5 linked regions of the Nothobranchius furzeri genome follow. The protein of the gene in region 3 interacts with the protein of the main gene of each other region in a pairwise test. Links are inferred from orthologs where the notes say so. Each region holds a gene or a part of one and is shown on either strand. Other genes may lie near its edges. The genes, in order: mrpl44, chd3, immt, traf3ip1 and disc1.

What was found.
Region 1: the proteins of immt (region 3) and mrpl44 interact in a two-hybrid assay, tested with the Homo sapiens proteins (2 studies listed by BioGRID and IntAct). The link is inferred for Nothobranchius furzeri from reciprocal best matches to the Homo sapiens genes IMMT and MRPL44.
Region 2: the proteins of immt (region 3) and chd3 interact in a two-hybrid assay, tested with the Homo sapiens proteins (2 studies listed by BioGRID and IntAct). The link is inferred for Nothobranchius furzeri from reciprocal best matches to the Homo sapiens genes IMMT and CHD3.
Region 4: the proteins of immt (region 3) and traf3ip1 interact in a two-hybrid assay, tested with the Homo sapiens proteins (2 studies listed by BioGRID and IntAct). The link is inferred for Nothobranchius furzeri from reciprocal best matches to the Homo sapiens genes IMMT and TRAF3IP1.
Region 5: the proteins of immt (region 3) and disc1 interact in binary tests that used the Homo sapiens proteins (3 or more experiments, as listed by UniProt). The link is inferred for Nothobranchius furzeri from reciprocal best matches to the Homo sapiens genes IMMT and DISC1.

What each region holds. Positions count from the first base shown.
Region 1 is NC_091753.1:32,619,041-32,623,842, reverse strand, and holds mrpl44 (large ribosomal subunit protein mL44), read right to left. Parts: upstream 3,051-4,802; 5' UTR 3,026-3,050; coding exon 2,823-3,025; intron 2,197-2,822; coding exon 1,728-2,196; intron 1,617-1,727; coding exon 1,438-1,616; intron 1,357-1,437; coding exon 1,182-1,356; 3' UTR 838-1,181; downstream 1-837. Other genes in the region: agfg1a (arf-GAP domain and FG repeat-containing protein 1a), read right to left, coding at 1-37; dynein axonemal assembly factor 1, read left to right, coding at 3,242-4,136, 4,203-4,663. UniProt on the Homo sapiens protein: Component of the 39S subunit of mitochondrial ribosome. May have a function in the assembly/stability of nascent mitochondrial polypeptides exiting the ribosome.
Region 2 is NC_091742.1:58,713,372-58,717,472, forward strand, and holds part of chd3 (chromodomain-helicase-DNA-binding protein 3), read right to left. Parts: coding exon 4,014-4,101; intron 3,698-4,013; coding exon 3,566-3,697; intron 3,476-3,565; coding exon 3,358-3,475; intron 759-3,357; coding exon 634-758; intron 552-633; coding exon 320-551; intron 240-319; coding exon 55-239; intron 1-54.
Region 3 is NC_091741.1:108,913,441-108,917,541, reverse strand, and holds part of immt (MICOS complex subunit MIC60), read right to left. Parts: intron 2,904-4,101; coding exon 2,817-2,903; intron 2,271-2,816; coding exon 2,127-2,270; intron 1,982-2,126; coding exon 1,848-1,981; intron 1-1,847. UniProt on the Homo sapiens protein: Component of the MICOS complex, a large protein complex of the mitochondrial inner membrane that plays crucial roles in the maintenance of crista junctions, inner membrane architecture, and formation of contact sites to the outer membrane.
Region 4 is NC_091754.1:2,495,674-2,499,774, forward strand, and holds part of traf3ip1 (TRAF3-interacting protein 1), read right to left. Parts: intron 3,464-4,101; coding exon 3,338-3,463; intron 3,234-3,337; coding exon 2,877-3,233; intron 2,785-2,876; coding exon 2,707-2,784; intron 2,554-2,706; coding exon 2,530-2,553; intron 269-2,529; coding exon 193-268; intron 1-192.
Region 5 is NC_091752.1:2,396,651-2,400,751, reverse strand, and holds the end of disc1 (disrupted in schizophrenia 1 protein), read right to left. Parts: intron 3,188-4,101; coding exon 3,065-3,187; intron 1,301-3,064; coding exon 1,109-1,300; 3' UTR 888-1,108; downstream 1-887. UniProt on the Homo sapiens protein: Involved in the regulation of multiple aspects of embryonic and adult neurogenesis. Required for neural progenitor proliferation in the ventrical/subventrical zone during embryonic brain development and in the adult dentate gyrus of the hippocampus.

The sequences.
Region 1 (4,802 bases), on a different chromosome or scaffold from region 3:
GTTTCTCCTCTTGTTTTCGTTTGGCACTCGCCGCCATGATAAAGGATATACAGCACCGATAAATAAAATCGGGGGAGGTTTAAATGTCAGCTACAACTGAAACAAAGGGCTGTGCTGTTTAACGGTTGCCGACTCGTGCTAACGGCAGCCAGGGGGTGGTTAAAGTGGCTCCGTTGTCAGGGCGGGCGGCCTCACGTCTCCTAGAAAAAGAGGCTCACGCACTCAAGAGGGGAACAAGATACTTCCTGCTATCGACTTCCGCTTTCCCTAAAACCCTGTTATTAGGCAGACTACGCTGCACATAGAATAGAATATACATAAATACGTACGATACCTGAACGTTCTGGGCGGAATGTAGCAAAATTTGGTCTAGCAGTTGGAAGTCAAATGTAATAATCAAACTATTAGGTCGCGACTGGCAAAATGTCTGAACAATAACTGTTATATGAAATATTCGAGTTCGGTATATTTCAAAATTATTCCAGGTAATGAAGTATAATCTCTAGCCAGAACAAAAACATTTTGTCAGAAATGTCCTGGTTTTATTACATTCGAAAGTTGGGGAAACGAACTATCTTGTCATTTTTATGTAATCTTTGGCAATGCTCATGACAGTGAAAACGACCGCTCACCAGCGCCATCATGAGGCTCTTCATAGCCACTGCAACACAAAACCAAGTCTCAACGTTTGTTGTGAAACTAAAATATTACATAGATTTTAAATATATATGTATTTTTTTTCAAGGTAAGCTCTAAAGGCTTAGTGAAAAATATACTTGATCAAGGATGCTTGGATTTCTCATTGAATGCTGATGTAAATATTAAAAACATTACAATTTTCACAAATTTGTAAATAAAATTTATTACATACAAATTACACAACATAATACAAATTTTGCTAAACACCAGATGTATTATTTACAAATAGATGGTGAGATGGCAGGGGTAGATGGTAAAAATGAATCAGCTGGTTTTATGCAGGTACGACAGTGAAACTAGTCGATTTTATACTAATAATAGCTCAAACATGGGCCGTCTGTTTAATACAGTAGAAAGCATGATCTTACAGCATTATTGCAGCTCTCATTTTAAAACTCATCAGCATCAACACTGACAAGCACAATACATTTCTGCCTACCTATATCCCCTTTATTTTTTGCTGGAGTATAATTATTACTTTACTAAGTACTGCTGGCAGACTGAAGTTTGCATTGCTCGTGCTGCTGTTGTGGAGAAAAGTCGATGGGTCTGCGGTTCTCAGTGTAGCCGTAAAGTTTTCGAAGGGCAACGCGTGCTGCTTCTTCCTCAGCTCCAGCCAGTGTCTCTCCTGGACCATTAGCCAGGAGCTTCTGGTCACTTATCAGAGGTGAACAGACAAAAACAGGTATATTTATATGATGCAGAGGACAAAAAACAGCTGCATAGTAACACACATACCTGTAAAGCCCAACAAAGTAGAGTGGTAGGACAGTGCTGGCACCAGCAGCCCTGATGAGACGAGGCTCTGGAAGAGGAACATTCCTCTTTGTCAGCTCCTCCACCAGCAGGCCCATAGGGTTGACCACAGTCCACATGTCAAACAGGTCCTTCCCTATCAGCTGAGTCAACAGGAAGTCCTAAGAAGTGGCAGAATATCATGACACGCTGAACACGAATCCAACCGTGCAGTTTTAGGATGAGCACATATTTAGAAATAAACATCAAGTGTTACTCTGTGTTCATCTTACTCTGAGAAAAAATCTAGCTCGTTCTGCTCCACTGCTCTCCTGCAGAGCTCCAATCACCGCCATGAATGTAGAATAGAGCACATCATCTGGAACAGGGAACTCTGCGCTCATGGTAAGGTCCTCAAGGCCAAGATTTCTTGCAACATATGTCACAACCTCTGGGCTGGCAAGATGTCCCACAACACTCTCCACACCTTCATCTGGCAGACTAGGGAAATTTGCTCTGCACCAGTCGCTAATGAAGCTCTTAGTAAAACCCTCTCCAGATTTACTCAGCTGGTTGTTATCCTTGAGAACCAGAGCTGTAGCTTCTGAATCCACACCTAATCCCTTTCTCCTGTCCTGCTCTGCCTGCAGGTAACAGGGATTAACGAAGGCTGTTTTAAGTAGCTCCAGGGAGAAGTTTTCATTGAGGCGAGTGCTGAAAGCTTGAACTTCAGCGTGGTAATCCCAGTTAGGATGCTGTGACCTGAAAGAAAGTGAGATATGGAGCAAATTCTTAGACAAAAAAATAGTACAAAATGTGTCATAAATTCTAGGAGAATAAACACTCGTTATATTTGTAAATAAATACTGGGTGGGCAGTTTATATGGACCACCCTGTATGCACCTTAATAAAATGGACCGGTGTGCGGTGTGCTGCTAAGAGCAAGCCAGACTAAATATCCATCCCCTTAGAAACAACCACCAATTAAGAGCAGTGAAGCTATTTTTATTAGCATGTGAACCAAATACAGAATGTGAACATGGTTCTAATCTGTTTCTCTTGAAAGTTTTGATTTTGACTGGAAATATGATGGAACAATGATTAAATAATTGACGTTATCAGGATTTTGGGCCTCTATAATACATAGCCACTATCTTGTGGCAAGTCCTTTTTTAAAATGTTTTCAGGAATTTTCCATTGCTGCTATTAAATCTCGTTAGCTTATTTTGTTTTATTTCTTCTTGATGCTCAACATATTTATTTTCTGCTTTGAACTCAGTAAACAAAGCTGGTTAAACCTCCTTTGTGTAGCCTAAATTGACAGAAATGTGACATGTTTGGCCTTGAGGTGCTCTCTGGTAAACTTTAGCATTAGCTGCTAACGTTACCGTGGCTTCGGTGGAGGAGGTCCTTCCAGCTTTAGCTTCTTGGCCATGATGTACGTGTACGCTCTCATCCATCGTTTCTTCCCTCTAATCTGAAACAGTGAAACACTTCCACAGACGAGCTGGCGGTGTATTCCAGATGTTAGGACACCACGACTGAACAAGTACATAGCCGACATGTTTCCAACAGGAGCAGTGTGCAACATCTTAAAGAGTCCGATGCGAAACTAAATCCGGTCGACCAATCGTTACTATGGAAACAAACCAAGCGGTTAACGACAACAAACAGGCGGACTAACTGCTAATATTAGACAACGAAAACTAATCATTTCAATATATAAGCAAGACATATTATTTTTCCATCCTTTGGGATACTTTCATAGTTTTTTTTTTTTTTTTGAAGAAGGCTAGCCCAACAAACGATGGCAGCTCATTCTGAAGGTGGAGATATTTCAAAATCATCCGGCATTCATGCACCAGGAGGTATTTTAGAGGCTGGAGCTGAATTAAAACGGGAAGCCAGACAACTGAAGCAAAGCTCACTGCAAGAAGAAACATATTCGATGCCACGAATTACTAGGAAGCTCCTTAAAGAGCTCTGTAAGCAGCACAAGCTGTACTACACCCCTTCCCTTAATGACACGCTTTATCTGCACTCCAAGGGTTTCTCTGTCATTGAGAATCTAGAGGAATACACAGACCTGAAGTGCCTCTGGCTGGCAAACAACGTGTTGCAGCGCATTGAGAACCTGGATGCCCAAATTCATCTACGCTGCTTGTACCTTCAGCATAACCACATTCACAAGCTGGAAAACCTTGAACATCTAAGAGATCTTCACATCCTGAACGTATCCAACAACCACATCCACATTATAGAAAACATCTCTGGGCTTTCTGACCTCAGCACTCTGGACATTGCTCACAACAAGCTGGAGTCTGTGGAGGACATTGAGCATTTACGTCATTGTCTGGCCATCAGCGTTTTGGACCTGTCTCACAATCTGCTTCATGATCCCAAGATCCTCTCTGTGCTTGAGGCCATGCCGGACCTGCGAGTGCTGAACCTGATGGGAAACGAGGTGGTAAAGAAGACCCCAAACTACAGGAAGGCTGTGATCTTTCGCCTCAAGCAGCTCACTTTCCTCGATGATCGCCCTGTTTTCCCCAAAGAGCGGGCATGTGCAGAGGCGTGGGCGAGGGGGGGACTGGAAAAGGAGAAGGAGCAGTGGGAATTCCAGGTGAAGATGAAAGTCCAGAAGCGCTTGAAGGGAATGGAGATGATTCGCCAAAAGGCTCTGGAGAGACGCCGCCTTCGTGGTGAGCATTTGCACACATGAAGTACAAAACAAAATGTAGATTGTAACTTAAATAACCTTCTTTCAGAGGAAACAGAGGCCCCCACCTCTCCAGAGATGGTCCTCCTGGATGCACATGAAGAGCTCCTGGATAATCTATCAGAACAGGAGGATGAAGACAAAAACCAAAACGATGTAAAGAGAGGTGAAGTGTGCTCTGAAAACAGGAAGCCTTCTCCTAGGTCTCTTCTCACCAAAGAAGATGATCTTGGAACAGCACACGGTCCTGGACCACTGGTCACAGAGTTGGAGGATGAAGAGCAGCTGGAAACAATCCAACTCCTCACAAACCGGCCACTGCACATCGATGACCTGCCTGATTTAGAGAATGTGGAACTGGAGGGTTTTACTGAAAGCTCCTCTCAGCAGGTGTTCAAGCCAAAGATAGAAGTCATATCTGGAGGCAGTGATGATGATGAGGAGGAGTCAGCGCTGGACTGGAGCGAAGACCGCTCCCTCTCAGGTTCAAGTCAAAACTCAGCTTTCTAACCTACTGCTCTGCCTTTTCCTCCAGCCGAGGCCTGAGCTCCTCGGGGTGATGCCTGACTGAAGGACTGGATGAACGTGTTTGATTTGAGAACTTTTTAGTGAAGCTTCGATTAAAGTCTAACGTTATGTAAAAATTTAC
Region 2 (4,101 bases), on a different chromosome or scaffold from region 3:
TCGCTCTCCACTCTGTCTACGTCCTCCCCCACTTCCTGTTTGACCTCACCGTACCTTGTCCTCCTCTCGGACCATGTACTGGGCCACCTTAAAGGAGCTGAGGTACTCGTTCATGTTCTGGACGTCCGAGTCGTCGGTGTCGTCCTGGCTCCGGTCCAGGAGCCTCTCGATGGCGGTGCTGTCGTAATGAATCACGTTGCCTTCGTCCTCCACTTTATCCCCAGAATTATTCTTCATACCTGCCAGCATATTTGTTTTTTTTTTTCTTTTCAGAATAATCCAACAAATAAAAATGGCCACAGCCAGAACCATCAGTCACCTTCTCCCTCGTCCTTAAAGAGCTCCTCCGTCCCAAACTTGAGGATATCGTCCAGCTCCTGTTTTGTCATGGAGCCCGCCTTGGATCCCAAACCGGGCCGCACCACCAGGTGGGTCAGCATCATCTTCCTCTTCGCTACCTGGGTGATGCGCTCCTCCACGCTGGCTCGCGTCACAAAGCGGTAGATCATCACCTTGTTGGCCTGCCCGATCCGATGAGCTCTACTGAACGCCTGAGCGGCAAGAGAGAGGCTGCTTCAGATAAAGCAGAACAGAAGTTAGACAGACGACGGTTTATTCCATCAGAGGCTGTACCTGTATGTCGTTGTGGGGGTTCCAGTCAGAGTCGAAGATGATGACGGTGTCCGCCGTGGCCAGGTTGATGCCCAGACCTCCAGCTCTGGTGGAGAGCAGGAAGCAGAACTGACAAGCTCCAGGAGCTGGAGACGAGGGAGACGGTGTGATTATCCACCCTGACACAAAAATCTAATCCTCGTGGAAGTAACGCGGGAAACTTTAACTTCCAACGCTCATTAATGCTTTGCTTCCCTAAAACACTGTTTAGCTTTAAAACTCAAAAGTGCCAGACTGATTTACCTCGCTTCAGCTGGATTTACTCTGACTGAGACCGTTTTGTAAAAGTCTGGTCACGGTCCACGCAAAACAAGCTCATTCCAGTGATAAACAGGAATTTCTACCTGGAGCAAGCAGATCTGGGAATAATCAGGAGCCTGTAATTTACTAACATCCTGTTTTTGTTAAAACGTTGAACAAACGGTCACTTCTGTTTCTGCCTGTTTATTTCCCACTTTATTAGTTGGCATCGCGTATTTCTGCGGTATTTATTCCAGTCGACAGGTCTGTTTATGAGGGCTGGTTTTACATTTTTAGGTTTAAGAAGTTTTTTTCTTGAGTTGATCAGAGAAAATTTCAGATTTATAAAACATAAATTTTTTAAAATAATTATTTATTGTAATGCTTTTATTTTGTCTTTCTTTTCAATGGACACTCACCTGTATGGAAAGCCATTATGGTCAAATGTTTTAAAAGAAATCCTGTTATTATGTTGTTGCTAACAATGAATCGTCATTACTAAAGGGCGTCGCCCACTCGTCTGTCATACTGACACTAGCAAGAGTCCAAAAAGGGCTCAGCGGGAATACGCTCCACTGTGCTCCGTAGGTGAGCAGAGAAAACCCCGCCCCTCAGAGAAAACCCCGCCCACTCATTTGAATATACAAGCATAAAATAAATAGAACCTGAACAAAATGGAGAGAAAAAAATCCATGAAATATTTATTTAAAAATATTAAAGCATCACAAAAAAGACAATCATAAAATAAATAAATAATATAATATAATATAAAATTCTAATTGACTAAATTAGCTTCCTGTTAATAATTTTTATTGAAACATTTATTTATTTGATAGAATACTTTTAAGTATCTATTGATAACAGTTTTTAATCGTTTATATTTAGAGTGAAATCAATTAATCAATTTCCCTCTGGGATTAATAAAGTTTTTTTGAATTGAATTGAATTGAAATGGCTTGTCATAAACTTCCACGCCTTCTGAAGGCTTAATTCATGTGCATCTGTTTTAAAAGTCAAGTTTTTTTCTCTCTTTTTTATTTCATTCAAAATAAAAACAAATAAAACATATAAACAATAAGATATTCATAACAAAAAATCAAATTTGAACGAAAAGGAGCAGAATGAAGAAAAACATCTTATAATTTCTGCCCCCTATTCCAGAAGAAATAATTTATATATAATTTCCATTTGTCAGACACACACACACACAGAGATTCATTTTAAACTTTTTCCTGTTCTAAATTCCAGTGCGATCATGATCACTGATTTAATTAACATTTTCATAATTATTTAGTACACTCAATTTGGTACATTTTTTTAATATATTAAATGACAGAGTTTTTTTAATTTCCCTTTTAAGGTTATTAATAATTTAACACCATTTACAGATGTATTCCACTCCTTAATTTTAGTTCTAAATCTAGGTTTTGCAAACACATCAGTATCTTTCAGCATATAATTACTAGTTCTCTTTTCAAATATCCCCTGAATGTTTGTTGGCAGAGTACCTAAATTGGCTTCATACATGGTTTGTAAGATTTTCCAGTCTTTTTAAATCATGAAATTTCAGTAATTTATATTTAATAAACAATTCAATTCAATTATTTATTCAGGACAATGCACATTAATAAACAATCAAATACATTGTATCGATCGTAAATGGGCCAAATTATATAGCATAGTTGCTCATTTGCATCTGTAGTCCTTCAACAAGATAACTAAGTAAAACAAGTAACACTATACAATTTAAAAACAGTCAGATAGAAACATTCCATTAAAATAGGCAACAAAAAATAAGAATAACTAAAGATGCAAACATGTCTGGGAGCCTTTAAGATGTAGTTTGAGGTGCTTTTTAAATGGGTTCGATGGATCTCTACAGCCACTATAATTGATGATTCTCAGAGCTCTTTTCTGTAAAATAAATAAGGGTTGTGTATAGTTTTTGTATGCTGCTCCACAGATATCTACACAATAAGTCAAGTATGGAACAATCAGTGAATTGTACAATGCCAACAAACCAGAACTAGTCAGTAAAAACTTGACTCTATGTGATACTCCTAAGGATTTGGCAATTTGACCTTTTATGTAACTAATTTGGGATTTCTATGACAAGTCTTCATCAATAAGAACTCCAAGAAATTTAGTTTCTTTTACTCTTTGAATTGCAATCCCATCTTATTTTAAAAATAGAGCACACATTTCATCTTTGGTTCACCCAAACATAACTCACCTCTGCCACCTGCTGACATAAATGGGTAAAACCAGATTCCTAAAGGTAATTACTCAGATGAAAACAACCATACTTTAATGCTCTTATTGTGAAAAGCCACGCCGCAGCATCCCTTTAGTGTCTTTGGGATGTGTCTTTACTTTGCTATTTTATTTTTAAACTCCTCTTTAATCCGCAAAACTCTGTCTCTGTTAAAGTGTGTTTTTTCTCACCGTTGAATCTGTCGATGGCTTCTTGTCTCAGTGCTCCTGTGATGCCTCCGTCGATTCTCTCATACTTGTAGCCCTCATGGTCCAGAAAATCCTCCAGTAAGTCCAACATTTTAGTCATCTAAAGACCACAGAAACATCATCAGAGCCTTCTGCTGGCTAACGTCACCTGTCATCTGGTGCTTGTGCTGCTTTCTGTGTGCTGGGGAACCTGTGAGAAGACAAGCACTCGGTGCCCCTGCTCCTTCAGCTTCCTCAGCATCTTCTGCAGCAGCATCAGTTTCCCAGAGGCTTTTGTGAGGGCCGACCCTTCGTACGCACCACTGGGGCTTTTCTGGGCTTCCTGTACGCAAGAAGGCCCCACAGACTCAATACTGGTGACTGTGAATATTTCTTCTAAGAGATTTGGTGCAAACATGAACACAAAGAGGGATGCACATGGAGCAAAACAGACACACGTTTAACATCGTAACAAAACAGACACAAGGTGACCACCAATAGACTCTAAATGAACAAAAACACACATAAAATAATTGGAGCACAACCACAAGAGACCACGAGGTGTCACTGTTACACCAAGTGACATTTTTAGTGCGATTTGACAGAGAGGGATGATTTTCCTTCAGCATTGGTGCATCAGTGAGTTAATCTGCCCTCACCATTGAGGCGACGGGGAACAGATATGGGTGGTTGCAGCACTTCTTCAGGTCCATCATGATGTTGAGCAGAGACACCTGGTTTCCTCCA
Region 3 (4,101 bases):
CATCCATTTTCATCCGCTTATCCAGAGTCGGGTCGCGGGGGCAGTACCCTAAGGTGAGAGGCCCAGACTTCCCTCTCCCCAGCCACTTGGGCCAGCTCCTCCGGGAGAATCCCAAGGCGTTCCCTGGCCAGGTGAGAGACATAGTCCCTCCACCGTGTCCTGGGTCTACCTTTAGGTCTCCTCCCGGTTGGACGTGCCCGGAAAACCTCACCAGGGAGGCGTCCTGACCAGATGCCCGAGCCACCTCAACTGACTCCTCTCGAGAGCCCAGCCACTCTGCGGAGGAAACTCATTTCGGCTGTTTGTATCCACCATTTTGTTCTTTCGGTCACTACCCAAAGCTCATGACCATAGGTGAGTGTAGGAACGTAGAAAGACCAGTAAATAGAGATAAATTTGCCTTCTGACTCAGCTCTCTCTTCACCATGACAGAGCGGTACAATGCCCACATCACCGCAGATGCAGCACCTACCCACCTATCGATCTCCTGATCCAGTTTGCCCTCATTCGTGAACTTGAGATACTTAAACTCCTCCACTTGGGGCTGGACCTCATCCCCGACCCGGAGAATGGTAAATTGTCTGTATTTGTATAGCACCTACTTAGGTTTCTGCAACCCCCCAAGGCGCTTCACAACACAATCAGTCACACACACATTCACACACTGGTGGGGGTGAGCTACAATGTAGCCACAGCTGCCCTGGGGCGCTCTGACAGAGGCGAGACTGCCGAGCACTAGCGCCACCAACCCCTCCGACCACCACCAGTAGGCAAGGCGGGTTAAGTGTCTTGCCCAAGGAGGACACAACAGCAGCATTCTCTGGTCGGAGCCGGGATTGAACCCGCAACCTTCCCATTACTGGACAACCCGCTGTACTTCCTGAGCTGCTGCTGTCATTCTACCCTTTTCCGATTCAAGACCATGGTCTCGAATTTAGAGGAGCTGATTGTCATCCCAGCTGCTTCACACTCAGTTAAGAACCGCTCAGCAAAAGCTGGAGATCACGTTCTGATGAAGCCAACAGGACCACGTCTGCCAAAAGCAGAAACCCGATCCTCAGGCCACCAAAACGGATCGCCTCAACACCTTGGCTGCACCTAGAAGTCCCATCTATAACAGTTATGAACAGAATCGGTGACAAAAGGCAGCCCTGACAGAGTCCAACTCTCACTGGAAACGAGCCCGACTTACTGCCGGCAAGCTCCGACACCGGTCACACAGACCTAACAGCAAAACTCGTAGATTAGTCGGGCGAGCTCCCACGCACCCTCCTGGACCCCGTAAGGGTGCAGAGCTGGTCCAGAAACAAAGCCGTTTTAAATATTAATAAATTACAACAAACAATAATACTTAAAGTGTATTTTAGAAGAGCGTCTTGCCCTCACGGTGTCTGCTGGAGAAAACTCAGGTTTAGTTGAGGACCCCAGCCTAAACTCACCCATCAGACAGCTCCTCCGAACATCACTCGCCTGGCTGCACATACCGCTCCGTCCTCCGCGGACAGGAAGAGCAACCAGCGGAAGAGCCCGGCGTCACAGATGGAACGTCCTGTTCCGTTTGTAAATCTCACTTCAGGAGTTATCGTACATGTTCTGTTTGGAGTCCACCTCCTGATGATCGACAGCTGCTGCCTCTTCATCATTTCAATAGAAGGAAGACACATTTTTCTTTGCCCTTGGGCACGGTTAACTTTACCATTTTGTCTTTTGTCTTAAAGACAACAGGACACCTCTGCTCTAGCCCGACTTGTCATCCTGCGAGCGCGCGCACACACACATACGTGCGCGCGCACACACACACACACACACACACACCTAGAACCACAGGTATCCTCAGGTTGACCCACCTCTGCCTCCATGGCGTCCTTCAGCTTGCGTGTGTGCTGGGTGACAGCCTGCAGAGCCACCTCCTGAGCTCCAATAGCCTGCAGCGTGGCCTTAGCAGAGGAGGCTAGAGAGTCCTCCAGACGAGATGAAAGGGCTGCAAAAACAACAGCAGGCTCAGAAACCTCTTAAAGCTTCAAGCATAAACCCCCGATGCTGCAGACTACCACGCTTCTAAACCAGGGAAGCTTCATTAATGTGTGTGTGTGCGTGTGTGTGTGTGTGTGTGGTTATCCGCTCACAGGCCAGAAGCTTCTCTTCCTCCTGGTCTTGCTGGACCAGTCTAGCAGTGACCTCATCAACTGGACGTTCCTTTAGAGGCTCTGCTGACGCGACTGCTGCCGTCTCTGAAACATCAGCGTGTTTGTGACACTCCTTACACTCGTCTGTAGGACACACACACACACACACACACACACACACACACACACACGAAGCAGCATCATATGAACCTAGTTCATGTTTTTTAAACAGACACTCACACTGATGGTGGTGATCTACACTGTAGCCACAGCTGTAAGTCGCTTTGGACGAACGTGTCTGCTAAAACCACAAACAATGACCTGGACAGAGCCTGGGTTCAAACCGACAACCCACTGGTTACAGGACAAACTCCTAACCCCTGAGCCACCATCACCTCCATCATGTGACCCAAACGTCTGCATGGCTGAAGCACACCCTGTCTCCATAACCACGGTCTCCTGTGCACAGACGACCTGGACATCACGTGACCACCCGGTGACTCTGAAGGTGGTTTTCTACACTGGGATGGAACCATTTAGAACCTGGTGGAGACCAGATTAGGCTTTATGCCCTGCTAGGTAGAACCCTGGGCCTGGAGGAGGCTGGACTTTATTCAGACACCAGTAGGTCCAACCCAAGGCCTACAGGCCAGCACCAGGTCAGAGCTTCCAGAGGGGAGGAGAACGTACCTGCAGCTGCCTCTGAGTCACACGTAGCAGGAACTGATGGGACCTCACTGATGGCCGAGATGATCTGAGTCGCCTCTGCTGACGCTTCTGCATGAACACACACATTACAGGCACAGCGGGTTGGTGTGTGCGCTTACTGAGTTATGTAAAGACAGACCCACCCAGTCCCTGATGAGACACTAATGGCCCTTACACACTAGCATCAGCTCCACCCCGCCTGGACCGGGTTAGGGCTGTTCTCATTCCTGCACACAACCCCTCTTCCCAAGGCGGTCTGCCTGGAACCGAACAAGGCTGACAAACCCACCGCCGGTTGATTGGCCAGCTCAAAATCACGCGTGCCATTAGGGGGAGCGTCCAATTGGCAGATAGAATCAGACACACACACACACACACACACAGTGCTGGCAGACACAGCAAAGCACGATACAAAATCAGAGTCCGAGAGTCCCAAAAGCAAGACTGCTCCGGCTGCTTCTGTTCAGTAATGGACACCGCGGCTGCAAATGCGCTGGCAACGATCATCTGTATGCAGCAGCAGAGCAGGCCGAGGCAGATCAGAGCGAGGGGGACATATATGTCGCAGGTGCGATGAAAAAAAAAATCTGTGTGCATTAAACTATTTTTACACGTAGCACTCGTGCGACATCTTTTCAAGCTACTCCCCCCCCCCCCCCCCCCCAGAACTTTATTGAACAAAGGTACGTTGCTTGCTATCGTGTAAAGAAGATGCCTTTTACTGGTGCACAACGTGCTAACAGGTGCTGTGGAGGAAAACAGAAACCAGAAAAGACACAAAGGCAGAAACGGTCCAAAATCTAGGATTAAAAGTGGAACTACGGGTAGATTAGCTAACGCTAGCGAGTAGCAGATCAAGTGAGGTTAGCCAGGTGGTTAGATCCTGCTTTTTCCAGTTTCGCCGGCTACCAAAGATGAAATCCATCCTGACTAGACATGACCGGCACACAGTGATCCATACATTTGTGATCTCTGGCTTTGATTATGCAAATTCCCTTCTTTATGGATCTACATCTTCCTCGGTTGCGCGCCTACAGCTGGTGCAGAATGCGGCGGCCCGCCTTTTGACGGACACCAGAAGGAGGGAGCACATTAATCCTGTTCTGGCCCAGCTGCACTGGCTCCCGGTGCGTTACTGCATCCAGTTTAAAATTTTACTTCTTGTTTTTAAGTCACTCCGTCTTTATGCTGCTCTGTACTTGACTCAGCTGGTTCTGCCCTACGTACCTGGTCCCAAGTGTTTGGGCGAGGACGCAAGGAGAACGCG
Region 4 (4,101 bases), on a different chromosome or scaffold from region 3:
CATGAAGAGAAGATTCATTAACAGTTTATTCTGATCAGATTCACGAAGCTTGTGCCGACACACGGGGACGCCATTAAAGGAAGAAGTCCATGACTCCAACAGTAGAAGGAAAACACAGACTTAACCGTGTTCAGTTTCCAGGAAGGCATCTTTAAAACAACGTTTCAAGTGTGGGAAGGTGTTAGGAATTACCTTGACCTCCGATCTTGGGCCTCCTCCTCTGCCCTTTGGCAGACGATGGCCGAGGTATTCTGGTTGGATTTTCAAACTGAAAAACAAGAACCGACAGAATTATTTTTGATCATAGCCTGTCCTGCTTTAGGCAGCGTGTGTCGTATTTCATCACGACGCACGGCCTCCAGCTAGGACAGCAGCAGAAAACTAACAACATACAAAACCACCCAAAAAAGGATGAAAGGTGGAACCATGAGGTGTCTAAAAACAGGAAAACCAGACATGGAAAGAACGGATCATCATTAATGACATCATTTGTTGTGTTTGTTAACCTCACTGATCCCGTTAGATCATTCAGAACAAGAGGACATGAAGAAAAGCTTCGCTGATTCCTCTCCACTCTTAGTTACTGTTAAGTTTGGGGATGTAAGAAAATAGCAACACACAGAAATATCACAATATGCAGTGTTTGTGAATCGATATTTAAAAGCAGCGTACCCATTTTCTTTAGAGAATTTACAAACATTTACTGAACAGGTCCTTCTCAATAAATTAGCATATTGTGATAAAGTTCATTATTGTCTGTAATGTACTGATAAACATTAGACTTTCATATATATTAGATTCATTACACACAACTGAAGTAGTTCAAGCCTTTTACTGTTTCTAATATTGATGATTTTGGCGTACAGCTCATGAAAACCCAAATTTGCTATCTCTAAAAATTTGCATATTTCATCCGACCAATAAAAAAAAGTGATTTTAATACAAAAAAGTCAACCTTCAAATAATTATGTTCAGTTATGCACTCAGTACTTGGTCGGGAATCCTTTAGCAGAAATGACTGCTTCAATGCGGCGTGGCATGGAGGCGATCAGCCTGTGGCACTGCTGAGGTGTTATGGAGGCCCAGGATGCTTCGATAGCGGCCTTAAGCTCATCCAGAGTGTTGGGTCTGGCGTCTCTCAACTTTCTCTTCACAATATCCCACAGATTCTCTACGGGGTTCAGGTCATACCATGGTCAGTAAACCCTTTAGCAGTGGTGTTGGCACTGTGAGCAGGTGCCAGGTCGTGCTGAAAAATGAAATCTTCATCTCCATAAAGCTTTTCAGCAGATGGAAGCATGAAGTGCTCCAAAATCTCCTGATAGCTAGCTGCATGGACCCTGCCCTTGATAAAACACAGTGGACCAACACCAGCAGCTGACATGGCACCCCAGACCATCACTGACTGTGGGTACTTGACACTGGACTTCAGGCATGTTGGCATTTCCCTCTGCCCAGTCTTCCTCCAGACTCTGGCACCTTGATTTCTGAATGACATCAAAATTTGCTTTCATCTGTAAAAAGTACTTTGGACCACTGAGCAACAGTCCAGCGCTGCTTCTCTGTAGCCCAGGTCAGGCGCTTCTGCCACGGTTTCTGGTTCAAAGGTGGCTTGACCTGGGGAATGCGGCACCTGTAGCCCATTTCCTGCACACGCCTGTACACGGTGGCTCTGGATGTTTCTACTCCAGACTCAGTCCACTGCCTCCGCAGGTCCCCCAAGGTCTGGAATCGGTCCTTCTCCACAATCTTCCTCAGGGTCCGGTCACCTCTTCTCGTTGTGCAGCGCTTTCTGCCACACTTGTTCCTTCCCACAGACTTCCCACTGAGGTGCCTTGATGCAGCACTCTGGGAACAGCCTATTCACTCAGAAATGTCTTTCTGTGTCTTACCCTCTTGCTTGAGGGTGTCAATGATGGCCTTGTGGACAGCAGTCAGGTCGGCAGTCTTACCCATGATTGTGGTTTTGAGTAAGGAACCAGGCTGGGAGTTTTTAAAAGCCTCAGGAATCTTTTGCAGGTGTTTAGAGTTAATTAGTGGATTCAGATGATTAGGTTAATAGCTCGTTTAGAAAACCTTTTCATGATATGCTAATTTTTAGAGACAGGAATTTTGGGTTTTCATGAGCTGTACGCCAAAATCATCAATATTAGAAACAGTAAAAGGCTTGAACTACTTCAGTTGTGTGTAATGAATCTAATATATATGAAAGTCTAATGTTTATCAGTACATTACAGACAATAATGAACTTTATCACAATATGCAGATTTTTTTTGAAGGACCTGTATTTTTGTGCGGTGCAATTCAAACTCCGACTGCAAGGTGGCAGCAGCTTCCACCGCCTCCACTCTGACGGAACAACGAGATCTCACAATCATACTGTTATAATACTGGAAGAGTCTGATCTGAGTTTTCCAATGAATTTCAGTCTAATCGGGGTTTTAGTGTCACGACGTATCGTCTGTATTGTGATATTTATCTCATCGCCAGATTAGGGTTAGGATTACACACCGCTGGTTACATTCTCACCTGATTCTCTTCTACCTCTGAGGGCTAAACAGACAAAAAAACACAGATGTGTGGCTTTCAGGAATCACAGTAAAAACTCGGACACATCTAACACCACAGAAACGCTCTGAATCCCCCCGAAGGCCTTTTACTAACAGGTGCGTACAGAAGCAGACGTAAAACCCAACGCAGACTCACCACTGGCTCTGTGGTGGCTGATTTGTTGCTCTGCTCTTCAGGACCGAGTTTCTGCAGCAGTTTGTCTGCCTCTCTGGTCTGAACACAAACAAACAAACAAACAAACAAACAAACTTTGTGTGAGTGATCAGTGCTCAGATTTAGGACAGAAGTGGAGTGAAGCATCATACTTTGTCGTTTCTACTCTCGTCACTTGGGTTTCTCTCTTCCTGGTCTTTCTGCCGCTCTCTGTGTTTGTCTCTGTGAGATTCTCTCTCTCTGATTGTCTGATCGTCTCTGCCTCGATCCCTGTCGCGGTCTTTCTCCTTGTGCCTGTCCCGGGCGTGTCCTTTGTCCTGCTCCCGGTCCCTGCTCTTGTCGTGGCCTTTGGCGGGATGCTGCTGCTCACCGCGGTGATTCCTGTCGGAGCGCCTACGGTCCCGTTGGTGCTCTTTATTCTCATCTCTGCGTTGACTCTCTGGCTTTTGGGGCCGCTCGGCGTCCTTCTGGTCCTCGCTGCTGCTGCGCTCGGTTGCCTTTTTCTTTTCCTGATATTATATAAACCAAAGTAAGGACGGGGACCCGATCATGAGGATAGATATGTGAAACATAACTTTTTATTGGAAAAGTATAGAAAAGTCTTTTTACTCACCTCATCATTCTGTGTGTGTTTGCGTCCCTCCCTGTCGTTACTCTGAGACTTGGACGTGCTGGCTCTGGTTTTTAAGTCCACCTTGTCTCCTGCCAGCACTCGCTTCACTGCTTCATCACTGGACAACTGCAGACCAAACAGTAAAGATCCTCAAAGCGGAGGATGGAAAAAACCTCATCGTGTTTTTAAGTTGAAAGGCAACATTTCACAAATAACACACATTTTAAATGTATTCTTATTCATCCCCTCTTACGTCATCTGTACACGCACTTGTTTTAGCTTGTGTGTTTTTGCCTTTTTCACACTTATGGCCTAAAAAAAGAAAATGATGCTACAACCTTCAGTGCTCTACACAAATATTCTGATTCTCGCTGCATACGCTGCAGTGAGAATGTATTTAAAGCACCAGGAACTGTTTACAACGGTCCCTAGGAAAGTGGCTCATTACCTCCACCTCCAGGGTGTGTCAGAGTTCTCCTGAGGCAGAAGAAAACATTTCCCAGGAGTGGAAAAAATGTTTGTTAAAAACAAAAATGGAGTTTTATTTTAATGAATTCCCATAAAAACAATATAAAAAACACTTTTTGTGTCTTTGTGTGAGTGCGTACACATGCATATGCACGTGTGTGAGTGTGAGTGTGTGTGTGTGCGTGTGTGTGAGTGTGAGTGCATGTGTGTGTGTGTGTGTGTGTGTGAGTGTGAGTGCATGTGTGTGTGTGTGAGTGTGAGTGTGAGTGTGAGTGTGAGTGTGTGTGTGTGTGTGT
Region 5 (4,101 bases), on a different chromosome or scaffold from region 3:
TTTATGATTATTTCTGATTACAATCAGTCACTCTGAGTTTAACATGCAGGCTGAACATGAAAATAGTCTCCTACACCTATCTCCTGCCTTAGCTTCTGATAGTGTGACGTAGATCTGTCAGGATTTTCAAATCCTAGAGTTTCACCGTCTATTTTCTGTCACTTAACGTTCATGGACTCACCCATCTAGACCCGTGGCGGGGAAGGTTGTTGTTGGTTTAGCGTCCAAGAAGCAGCTGAGAGTGTCTGGATTAGTAGAAGCTAACCGTTAGCATTAGCAACTCCACCACACAGCAGAAAATCCTCCAGGCTTGTGTTATTTGTGGAGGTAGATATCAGTGTTGGAAGTCAAGTCAGTGGTAGAATTGCGTTGCTGTTCTCCAATCTGGGGCAAAATGTCTAAATATCAGAAAAAACAGACTACAAAACCTGCCGTCTGAAGCTCAGCTGCGATGTGGCTCACTTCTAGCTCCCGAAAAAGGTGCACCGGTACATTTTTCCCCCCGACAACGACTTACAGGACATTCATTCCTACTGGAGACCACTGAAGATTGAACCACACGGCTGGTGTTTGAGCTGGGGGGGGGGGGGGGGGGGGGTAAGGTTGATCAGTTGGTGCCCTACGCACAGTGCCAGATGCGCGTGGGCGGAGTGCTGGCTACGTCCATCTTTAGTTTTTTTAAGGGAGAAAAACTGACAACACCCTAGTCAGCTGAGAATGAAAGCTGTTTCTTTGTGACCTTCCTTCCATGACTCAGTCATTAGACTGTTTTGTGATTATTTCACTGTGGAATGATTACGCCATGCTCCTTTAAAACTAACGCTGCAGCCAGCCACTAGGGGGACAGCAGTTAGTTCTGGTTTGCATTTCCAGGCCCTGTTTGGATGTCTAGTAGTTAAATCTAGGTTTAAAGACCTACTTCAGGATGACTAAATGATGTAAAACTGGTGGCCACGGCTGTACTGCCAATCAAACCCTTGATGTTTATTTCCTTTTGCAGTTCCACTAAATGTCACGCAGGCATTTAAGCCCCTTGGCTAATCTGTAAACTGATAATGAGGTCACTTTTATTCAACACCAAGGTCAGATTCTTGCTGTTGCTCCAGGTTCAGATGTCCCAGCTGTCACTGAAGTACTGGTCCTCCTCTTCCTCCTCCTCCTCCTCCTCCTCTAGAGTCCCATTCTTCATCAGGTCATTCAGCTCCTCTCCCTCCTCTTCCTCCTCTTCCTCCACCTTCAGCTGTGCGAGCATGGCCTGTAAAGTGGACTTTACCTGCTGAACTTCTGTTTCTAAGGACTGTGCAGCGTGAGTTAAGGGAAACGATTATGTCTGCTTGCTGTGCAAATTAGAAACACGCCAACAGAAAAACATCAAGGAAAAAAGTGGGACTTGTTGACTGTAATGGCTAACGGTGCTAGCTGAGGTCAGCCGTGACGCCATGCAGCCACCAGCCTCCAAACAGATTACTGACCATCGACTTATACCCACTTTAACCCTAATCTAGTTCAGTATTCATGAGCTCATCTAAAGTGCGAACCCATGCAGGCAGACCGCCGATCTTAATTATTCATGAAACGTCATGATGGAACGGGATGCTGGCTGTCATCAGTTTGGAGGATTGTTTAACCTGCTTAGTACCTTAAACAAATGGTGTGGGTGTCCGGCTTCAGTGGAAAATCAAAGGGACGACTTTAAAGGCAGATGGGGCCTGAGTGGACACCCGTTAAAGAGCCACGCATGAATAATTCAAAAGGTAGCACGAGATTTTTAGCGGATCGTGGCTCAAACAGGAAGATGTTCAAGATTATGTTGGAAATCTCTTAAGCTAATATCAAACACTGACAAAATTCCTCCTATCTTCATCTCCAGTCCCTCTCTCTGTGGTTGTCCATACACGTCTTATTATTATTGAGAGCCGGAATTCAATTAAGACCCTTCCAGGCTGCTGGTTTGATCTTCCTGTCGCTATGGCAACAGCAGCGCCATCGCTAGAACGGGCTCCATTCAATTTTGCAAACCAACAATATCATCCTGCCTCTCTGGTGTCCTCAAGAGTCCACAGCCCTACTGCATGAGTGCAGGGACTTCATCTACAGGAAATAAGTGACACATCTGGACATGAGAACAGAGAGCCGGAGAGGAGAGAGCCAGTCTCCGTCTACTCCTAGCTGCCAGCACGCATGGATATCACGCTTACGATAGACGAGCCTGCGTTGACCTCTCACAGCACAGTGGTCAACACGGGTCTTCAAGAAAACGTTCAAACATCTGGGTAAATGGGTCGTGTGGCATGCTGTGTTCAGAGATTCGTTATGTTAGGAGGCATTTTTGCCGGGTTGCTTTCAAAGAAGAGGAAATAACTTGTGATCGAGGGTGATGATAAAAAGTCAGGTGGCAAATTTTCCTTACCTCCGGTTCTGAAATATTATCTGGCTTAATAAGGCAGCAACACGGAAGAGGAGACGCAGGCGCAAGAAAAACACACGGATCTAATTCCAATCAACTTTCTAATTAGTGCAGAGAGTGATGTAATCAGCTCCAACAGTTGGATTTGAGTTATTATCATGGATATTGTAATTTTCTTCCCCACCGGAACCGGGCAGAAGGGGAGGGGAGTGGAGCTGAGGAAGGGGGGTCAGACGGAGGATGGACATTGAGATTTGACAGGAGCAGTCATCACAGTGACATTCCTCTATCTGCTGCGGCGCAGCTCCTGTCGGGCGGCTTTAATCTCAGCTCGCAGTGACTGGCAGCGCACATCAGTGGCCCTTTAATAACCTCGCGTGGACTTTTACCGTTTCATTTTCTGGTCGGCACATCCAGTCTGTCAGGAAATAACAACCAAAAAAAACCTCTTTGATCCTAGTTTACCATCCACTCCCTGGAAAACGGATCCATAATGACAGCTTTTCCCTCAGAAAGGTGAAGCCACTGCAAACCGACATCAGTCAGCATCTAGCTTTAGGAAAAAGGCCGGAGGAAAGCGGTCCTTCAGACGGACGGACGCAGACACACAAACATCCAGTCTGTGTGATTCATGTATGTTCAGAGAGAAAGGATATGGGTAAGGGCTCGATCCTGTTTCAGCAAAGCCGTCTGCAGTTCGTCCTCCAAGGCCATCAGTCTGTCACTGATCAGCTCACAGCGCTCCATCAGGTCTGCAGCCTCCGCCTCGCTGCACACATCCTGGTCCGGAAAGGACAAAACAAAACCTCCAAGTGTAAGGGTGTGTTATTAAAATGAGAACACGCATACACACGGAAGACTGTCCACATCTTATAGGACATTCAGCGTATCTGTGGGCTATGTGCATCCATAAAAACATCAGTTTTGGTACTTTTATGCTGGTTTTGTTGATCAGACCAACACGTTTGCATTGAAAAGGAAAAGCAGGAGTTCAGAAGGACATTAGAAGACATGAGGACACAAAAACAAGTAGAAACACTTACAAACACTAAATCTCTTTGTTACCAGTTACGGGCTGATATTTACAGGTGTCTTTATTGTTTATTCCTGATACTCAAATCTCTCACTATCTACGCCTTTTATTTGTGTCACTCCAGTTTTTATCGGTTTATTTAATTTTGGCTCCATAAAACAGCAACTGTACGTTTAGTTTGTTCTTGAAACAATCAGCTCCTCTGAACCCGAGACCGTGGTCTTGAGTTGGAAAAGGGTAGAACGCCTTCTCCAGGTCAGGGATGAGGTCCTACCCCCCAAGGGGAGGAGTTTAAGCATCTCAGGGTGTTGTTCATGTATGAGAGAAAGATGTAGCGGGAGCTTGATCTGGAGCTGGCGTTGTACCGGTCTGTTGTGGTGAAGAGAGAGCTGACCTGGAAGTCGAAGCTCTTGATTTACTGGTTGATCTACGTTCCTACCCTCACCTAACCTTACGAGCTTTGGGTAGTGACTGAAAGAATGAGATCGCGGATACAAGCGGCTGAAATGAGTGTTCTCCGCAGGGTGGCTAGGCTCTCCCTTAGAGATAAGGTGAGATGCTCGATCATCAGGGAGGAGCTCGGAGTAGACCCGCTGCTCCTCCACATCGAGTGGAGCCAGTTGAGGTGGCTCGGGCATCTGATTAGGATGCCTCCTAGATG